2 linked regions of the Caenorhabditis elegans genome follow. The protein of the gene in region 1 purifies or fractionates together with the protein of each later gene. This does not show direct contact. Each region holds a gene or a part of one and is shown on either strand. Other genes may lie near its edges.

What was found.
Region 2: the proteins of ndc-80 (region 1) and kbp-3 purify together in Caenorhabditis elegans (affinity purification with mass spectrometry, with the first as the bait; one study listed by BioGRID). This does not show direct contact.

Annotation. Positions count from the first base shown.
Region 1 is NC_003282.8:10,084,573-10,088,953, forward strand, and holds ndc-80 (Kinetochore protein ndc-80), read left to right. Parts: upstream 1-1,564; 5' UTR 1,565-1,574; coding exon 1,575-1,687; intron 1,688-1,734; coding exon 1,735-2,137; intron 2,138-2,189; coding exon 2,190-2,477; intron 2,478-2,524; coding exon 2,525-2,884; intron 2,885-2,962; coding exon 2,963-3,066; intron 3,067-3,113; coding exon 3,114-3,242; intron 3,243-3,314; coding exon 3,315-3,633; intron 3,634-3,681; coding exon 3,682-3,738; 3' UTR 3,739-3,865; downstream 3,866-4,381. Other genes in the region: col-2 (Cuticle collagen 2), read right to left, coding at 1-538, 586-865; ttr-39 (Transthyretin-like family protein), read right to left, coding at 3,911-3,988, 4,031-4,224. UniProt on the Caenorhabditis elegans protein: Acts as a component of the essential kinetochore-associated ndc-80 complex, which is required for chromosome segregation in mitosis and meiosis and spindle checkpoint activity.
Region 2 is NC_003280.10:14,388,725-14,392,071, reverse strand, and holds kbp-3 (Kinetochore-binding protein 3), read left to right. Parts: upstream 1-1,993; 5' UTR 1,994-2,006; coding exon 2,007-2,160; intron 2,161-2,215; coding exon 2,216-2,344; intron 2,345-2,387; coding exon 2,388-2,481; intron 2,482-2,746; coding exon 2,747-2,774; 3' UTR 2,775-2,836; downstream 2,837-3,347. Other genes in the region: nurf-1 (DDT domain-containing protein), read right to left, coding at 1-388, 1,060-1,352; F26H11.8 (uncharacterized protein), read right to left, coding at 3,248-3,347.

The sequences.
Region 1 (4,381 bases):
GGCTTTCCAGCGGTTCCTGGTCCTCCTGGGTTTCCGTCAGCTCCTGGTGCTCCAGCAGCTCCTGGTGGTCCCTTTGGTCCAGCTGGTCCTGGTCCTCCGGTTCCTGGGGCTCCGTCATTTCCGGCTGGTCCGGCTGGTCCTGGTGGTCCAGCTGGTCCTGGCTCTCCTGGTCCTCCTTGCTCGGATGCTCCTGGTTCTCCTGGTCCTCCTGGGGCTCCTGGGGCTCCGTCGTTTCCGGCTGGTCCTGCTGGTCCTGGTGGTCCGGCTGGTCCTGGGCCTGATGGTCCGGCTGGTGATCCTGGGTTTCCATCTGGTCCCGGTGGTCCTGGTGGTCCGGCTGGACCAGCTGGTCCTGGTGGTCCTCCTGGGCATGGTTGGCATGGTGGTTGAGTAACTGGCTCACATGGAGCTGATGCTCCTTTTCCTGGATTTCCTGGGGCTCCTGGAGCTCCTGGCTTTCCTGGCTTTCCTGGTTTTCCGGGAGATCCACCTGGTCCTGGTGGTCCAGGATTGCAGCATCCATCACATCCTCCGCCGCCTGAAAATGTATTCAAATACTTAAACTCTGTGAACCAAGATCCTTACCTCCGCCTCCGCCTCCTCCAGCTCCTCCAGTGGAATAAGCTTGACGAGCAACACGAGTATTGTTTCCTGGAGCATCCTTAATAAGATGCACCTCACTCCAGATATCACGAGCAGAAACCTTGCAGAAATTAACATCAGTGTGAATCTGTTTCTTCACATTATTAACATAGTTATAAACCATTGGCAATGTGATGAAAACAGAGACAACGGCGACAACCGAGAAGGTGACTGCCGAATAGGCAACAAATTTATAAGCTTTGATACGAGCGTCGATGTCCATGATTACTGTTGGAGGGTGAGTGATGGACTGAAGAATTCCAAAAGAACTGATGTTTTTATACTAGAGACGTCCATGGCTATTACTTGGAACTGGTATAATTGTTCTTGTTAAGGAGAAAGAAAAGAGAAAGAATAAGAGGATCCAGTTCTGTGTTATCACTCCATTGGTTAAAGATACTGGTTTATTATTGTAAACTATATCAGTTTCTCGAAGAAAAAAAATTTGACGTAATTATTGGCTGGAAACTTCAATTACAAAAATGCAAATATTAAGGGGCAACTTCTGTTTATCAATATACCGACTGGAAATGATCTAACCATTGTAGGAAAATTCAATTCTATTGTATATTAATCGTGTTTGAAATTATATCTCAAAAGTTCCAACAATTCCTTCATTCTGGAATCTCCGGAAATCAGTTTCCTCGCGAGTGCAGCGTCTCTGTAATGTAAGTGCGCTCCAATCACAATTGCTATAGCGGGAAAATTCAAATGTGACTTCTCTCTCTCTCTCTCGATATTGTTTTTACTCAAATTTCTATTTTCGTTTTTTTTTTCATAAATATTTCTGTAAAAATGTTTTTTCTTCTTTAAGTTGGAAAACAAAGTTCTCAATAGTTGCCAGAATTATTTTTTTAAATTTTATATGCGTCGCCTTCCGTTAGTATATTCAGTTCTGGTCAATTTTATTCGCTCATTACAGTTTCTTGACAATGTTTGGAGATCGAAGAAAAACGGGCGGCTTGAATCTCAACGGACGTGCCTCAATCGCTATCACTCCGACTAAAAGATTCACCGATTATACTGGATCAACATCAGTCAGAAAGTAAAAATATCCAATTTCGTGCGATGAAGAACTAATCTAATTTGCAGAACTGACGCTCGCCCCAGTCTGAGTCAACCTCGTGTGTCATTGTTTAATACTAAAAATTCATCAGTTGCTCCGCGAGATGTGAAATCATTGGTCAGCTTAAATGGAAGCAAAATTTACAACTTTCTTGTGGAATATGAAAGCTCGGATGCACCATCAGAACAGCTCATTATGAAACCTCGTGGAAAGAATGATTTCATTGCTTGTTTCGAATTAATTTACCAACATCTCAGTAAAGACTACGAATTTCCACGGCATGAGCGGATTGAAGAGGAGGTGTCCCAGATATTCAAAGGTCTTGGATACCCGTATCCACTCAAAAACAGCTACTACCAACCAATGGGATCTTCTCATGGATATCCACATCTTCTTGACGCACTTTCTTGGCTTATTGATATCATTAGAGTTAGTAACTGATTTTTTTATTATTTTCATCCCTATTTATTTAACCATTTAGATCAATTCTGCTGTCAGTGAGGACACACAAAATATCCTGTTCGGTGATTTCATGGAACAGGGAAAAGCTCAAGAAAAAACGCTCAATTATGCATGGATGACAAGTACATTCAGAGATTATACAAATGATCGAAAAGCAGCAGAAAATCCCAGTTCTTCATACTGGGACGACACGAAGCATCGTCTACGGAAGTATTTCGAGCAATCCAATGAATTCGAGGATATGACTAAAACAGCTGCATCAGCTCTGGAGATGCTCAATTACGAATGTGATGAGATAGAGGCTGATGTAAGTAGAATTTCGATACTTTTGTTTTAAAGAAGTTTTATTTTCAGAAAGGAAACGAAGCAAGCTTAAAAGAAGAGATATCAAGAATCAGAGACGACATCCGAAAAGCTAAAGATTATCTCGAGCAAAATCTTCATGTTAAGCAGCATATGGAGAAAGAACTGGCTATGGTGAAGTCGGAGCAAGAGGAGAAAATTTCAGAAAATGAAAAAGTGCAAAAGATGGTGGACGATCTGAAGAACAAAATTGAGTTGCAAAAACAAATTCACGGATTGACAGGAAAAGAAGTGCGTCAAATGAATCTTGACAATAATAAAGACAAGGAGGTGGTACTGGAAATTCAAAGCGAGTTGGATCGTCTATCAAAAGAAACATGGAAACTCAAAGATGAAGACTTCTTCAAAGAGGTATTCTAGGTTTTTGGAAAGTTGAATGCCTATCATTCACGGAAATACTTGTATGACAATCAAATTTGTATGTTTCAGCAAAAGTCCAAATTCATTCATCTCGCAGAACAAATCATGAAAATTCTCAGTGGACTTAATATTCAAATGAATCTTGAACCACTAAGAGCTCCAACGAATGAAAGGTAAATTTCTAACAATTTATTAAAAATTCACAAATCTACATTTTCAGAGATCTTAAGGATTACTGGGAGACGTTGAACAAGATATGGGTTCCAGAGATCAGCCGACAGTTGCATCAGAGAAAGCTTGAGCTTGAGACTGAACAGTCAAGATTTTCAAATAAAGCAGTTACCGCAGAGTAAGTTGTACTCGAATTAAGCGCCGTTCCATTGAATGTTAATAATATACACATTTATAAACAATAATTCAGAGAAAGAATCCAAATTCAAAGCGAAACACTCTGTGAAGCGAAGAAGAATGAGGCTCGCGAAGAACGAATTCGTCGAAACGAACGTGATAGCTGGAAAGATGCTCGCAAACATATTGAACAACGATATGAACAACTATTGAATGAAAAAGAAGTACTTCTAAAGCAAATGAAACTTGATGGAAGCCTCGAGAAAGAAATCGAAGATGAGACCGCCAGAATGTCTGCAACTGGAGAAGAACACATACAAAAGAGATCTCAATTGGAAGCTGGAATCCGGCAAATATTGGATCTGATGGTAGTGGAAATCGCCGAGATTGAGGTAGGTCCTGTCAATTTTACTGAGCTATTCTATTTTTCATTTTTTCAGAACAAAAAGATAGGATTCCACGTGCAATGTGCTGGCATTGAAAAGGCGGTTCTTTAGTCTCCTTTGGCATAATCATTCTGTGAATAATACTAGCTTTCATTAAAAGAAAAAAAAAATGACTCTAACATTTATTTCTGTGGTTTAGACTTATTTTATAAAAAGCCAATGAACAATGATTTCCAGCAAAGCGAACTTTAATATATTACACAAAAAATGGTTTCAAGCAAGTTTAATAACAATGTGGTTCCTCTTTGTGCTTCACACCGATTTCCATGTTAGGAACTCCTAAGTCAAACCACTTATTCACCTGAAAAATTATTTTGATGGAGTATGAAGTATCATCAATTACCTGCATCCCCTTGTTCACATAATTGTCTGGGACAGTGAAAGTAATCTTGCGTCGACAAACTTTGGAAGATGAACGACAATTGTGATATATACGTAGTTGGGGATCAATTGCAGTTATTGAAATTGCAAATCCAGATACTTCGAAAGTTCCGTCTTCGTTTACATGGGTTTCAGCAATAAGATCGTCTGGATCGACTGAAAATTGAATTTTTTGTAGTTTTTTGAAGCAATGTTTTATAACGGTTTTGTGGGGATCGTCCCCACAAAAATAGACGAGAGATCCTGTTTTTTAAGTGAACAATGTTTTATCATAATTTGTTCTTGTTTTGGTATTCACTTGAATTTAAATATT
Region 2 (3,347 bases), on another chromosome or scaffold:
GCAAAAGTCCTCAAAAGTGAAGGGTGTGATGCGGAGAGTTCGATGATAAGATCGGAGAATCTCGTAAATTTCAACAGCATCCATTATACTAGCCGTTGGAATCGGAATATCCTGACTAGATTCTGGTAGTTCGAGTTTTGGTAGACTTGCAGGATCTTCATCCAACCACGGACAATACTTGTTCTCCTCGTCGAGACCTTTTTCGATTTTAATATCTGTTAAATTCAACTCTTCCTCTTCCTCCTGAACAACCTGATCCTCATTTAGCATGAACTCATCGTCCGAAGATTCTTCTTCTTCTTCAGAATCCTCATCCATGTAGATAATGTCTTCTTCTTGGCGTTTTAGCGATTTGCGACGTGGTGGAGTTGGATTTTTTTTGGGTCGGCTGAAAATTGATGGAATTTATTTTTAATCTGAACAGGCAGATTTATATAGCTTCTAAATATTCTTAATTTTGCAAAATTGGGATTTTTCAGAAAAATTCCCAATTTTTTGGAAAAAAAATCCATGATTGTGAAAAAAAAATCTCAATTTTTGAGTAAAATTCCATTTTTCTGAAAACAAAATTTAATTTTTTTGCGGAACACTTTATTTTTGTTTTTCTTGATTATGCAAATTGTAGCCTCGTTTTCAGGCGTTTTTCCGCAAAACTATCATAAAAAGAATTTTGAATTTTCGATTTCTGAAAAAATGAGAAAAAATCAAGAAAACCCGAAAAATTGGCCGGAGAACGCAAGCATAGTTCCTTCGGAATTTGAATATTTGCAAAAATTCGAAACATTTTGCAGTTGTATTCGGTATTACCCAGGCGCGAAAATATGATCTCGAAACGACAAATTTTTGTACATCGCAAATGGGTTTGCATAGTTTTTCTTTAAATCTAAATAATTTGTTGTGAACGACGTGAAAAAGCGTATTATACGTTTTTTCGATTGAAAATTTGACGAAAGCGGAAATATCCTAAGAATTTGCGTTAAAACTTGAAAAAAGCATTTAATTGAAAATTATCTGAAATCAGCGGAATTTCTGAAATTATTTTTCTTCTTGATTTCTCACCCTCTAGCCTTCGAGGTACTCTTTGGTGCTGGTGTTGACGCAGGTGTAGATCTAACCGAGATCTCTTCAATCTTCACCTCCACCTCCTCGGCGTCTGATGGTGTTTCCCGTTGAGCCGCACGTTTTTTTGTTGGCGGTGGACTGTAACCGTCGTCAAAATAACGTTTCGGAAGTCGACTGCGGCGTGGACGAGATGATGATGTGGATTCTGATGGGTCTTCTGAATCGGCAATTGAAGAATTTCCGGATTCAGACGGATGCTTTCGCTTTGAACGGCCACGTGGTGGAGCCATCTGAAAAAATTTCGAAACTTTTCGAAAATCGATAAGCTTAAGAATGTTCGTCAAAAAATATTGAAAGCCTCGAAAGGAATAAATTTAAAATCAAATTAGAACACTGGTAATTGTGAAAAAGAGCTTGAAATCCAAGAAAAAAAGATTTTACGTCATCATATGGTCTTTGGAGGAAAATCAATAAAATTTGCGAGAAATGACAATCGGAATATAACATTATTAGATAAAAATACATTAAAAAAGGATCCAGGATTGGTAAACTACAGTACGAAATCTTAATTTTTGAAGCTGAAAAAATCGATAATGGGATAAAACTCATTTTCCAGCGGAAAATCGGCTTTTCTCAAGTGGAAACATAAAAAACAATGGGAAAAAAGGAAAAATAATAATTTTCCGAAATTTTCCTTCACTTTTCCGTCTAAATAATCAGTTTGGACACTTTTTTGAACGCGCCGCGCCGTAAATCGACTCAGTGCGAGAGGCACACCCTAAAGGCGCACACATTTATTTGCAATGGTCGCGACGAGACCTTGGCCCTCTTGACGCGGGAATTTGAGTTGGAATTTATCTTTGCTAATTTTGCTGTCGCATTTTTATTTATTTATCTTAGTTTTTAACCGATTTTCATTGAATTTTTGCAGGTTTTTCGGCAAAATGGAGTCACTCAACGAGTATATGGACAAGATTATTAATCGTCTTAAGGCAGTCAATGAGAAAGACGAATTAGTTGATGAAGGAATGCGGAAACTCCAAAAATGCCAGGAAAAAATTATGAAAACGAGAATCGATGCTCAAAAACATATCGATGGTAAATTTGCAAGGAAATTGTTTAGATGTGTGCATAAAACAAAACATTTGTTCAGAACGCCACGAGCAACAGTCATTCGAACAACAGCTACTGAACAAAAATATGTTTGAAACTGAGCAACTGGAAGAAAAACTAAAAAGATTGGACGATGAGAACAAAATTGGAAATGAGCGGGAATTTAACAGTAAGCTGATAGTCTTTGAAACAATTTATCTGATTTACTCCAGAAAAATTGGAAGCAATATCTGCGAAGTGGACGGATGACGTCAATCTCTTGAAAACCACGCCGAATGAGCCTAACGATGGGAATAGAAAGAAATTGTAAGGGATTTAATTAAAAATAAGTTTTGTGAAGAAACTGCTCAAAAGTTTTTAAAATCTGGACTAAAATCTTCAGTTTTGCCTACTTTACTGTGTGGCTGGCAGCAGTCGGAACTTAATGTTTATTTAATTATTATTATGCGGGCGGCACTGAAGAGCGGTAAAAATTTTGATATTTCACCACCAGACTCGTTTATATAGGTCCATTTTAAAGCTATTTAACCAAAAAATCCTTCTTTATAAACTAAACGTGTATTTTTTTCAGATCGAACCTCTCCAACATCTTGGTCTAACTCTGGTTTTCATCCACGTATCAATTATGCCTTCTTTTCATGTATATTAAATCATTTCATTTATTATATTGTTATCATCATCACATTTCAATAGTTTCCAATTGTTCCGTAGAAGGTATTAGGGAAACTCTTCTCTCTTCCGTTCGAGGAAAATTTGTTCAAAAGTTCCCAGGTGTTAGCGGAAGATTGTGGATTTTCTTGTGATGTCGTGGTTTCTACAGGAGCCGGTCTCACTCTTGCCAGGGATTCTTCAGAAGAAGAGGATGATGATGAGGAAGACGAGGACGACGACGAAGAAGACGATGAAGATGTGGAGGAGGATGGACAAGAAGCAGAAGCTCTCCGATTCAAAGTTTTCGGGCAAAATTCTCCATTTGGATTCACCTCGCAATCGTGATGAATTTTCCACGCGATGAACTTGTCCAGGTACACATTTCTATAATTGGAATTTTTCTATAATATTTGGAACATTTTTATCTCTGACAACCCGGATGCAATGGGGCCTGCCTACAATCGACGCCTTTTCTCTGTCTTCCCTGGATTTTGGATCTCGCTGCAAACTTTCTCGCAGCT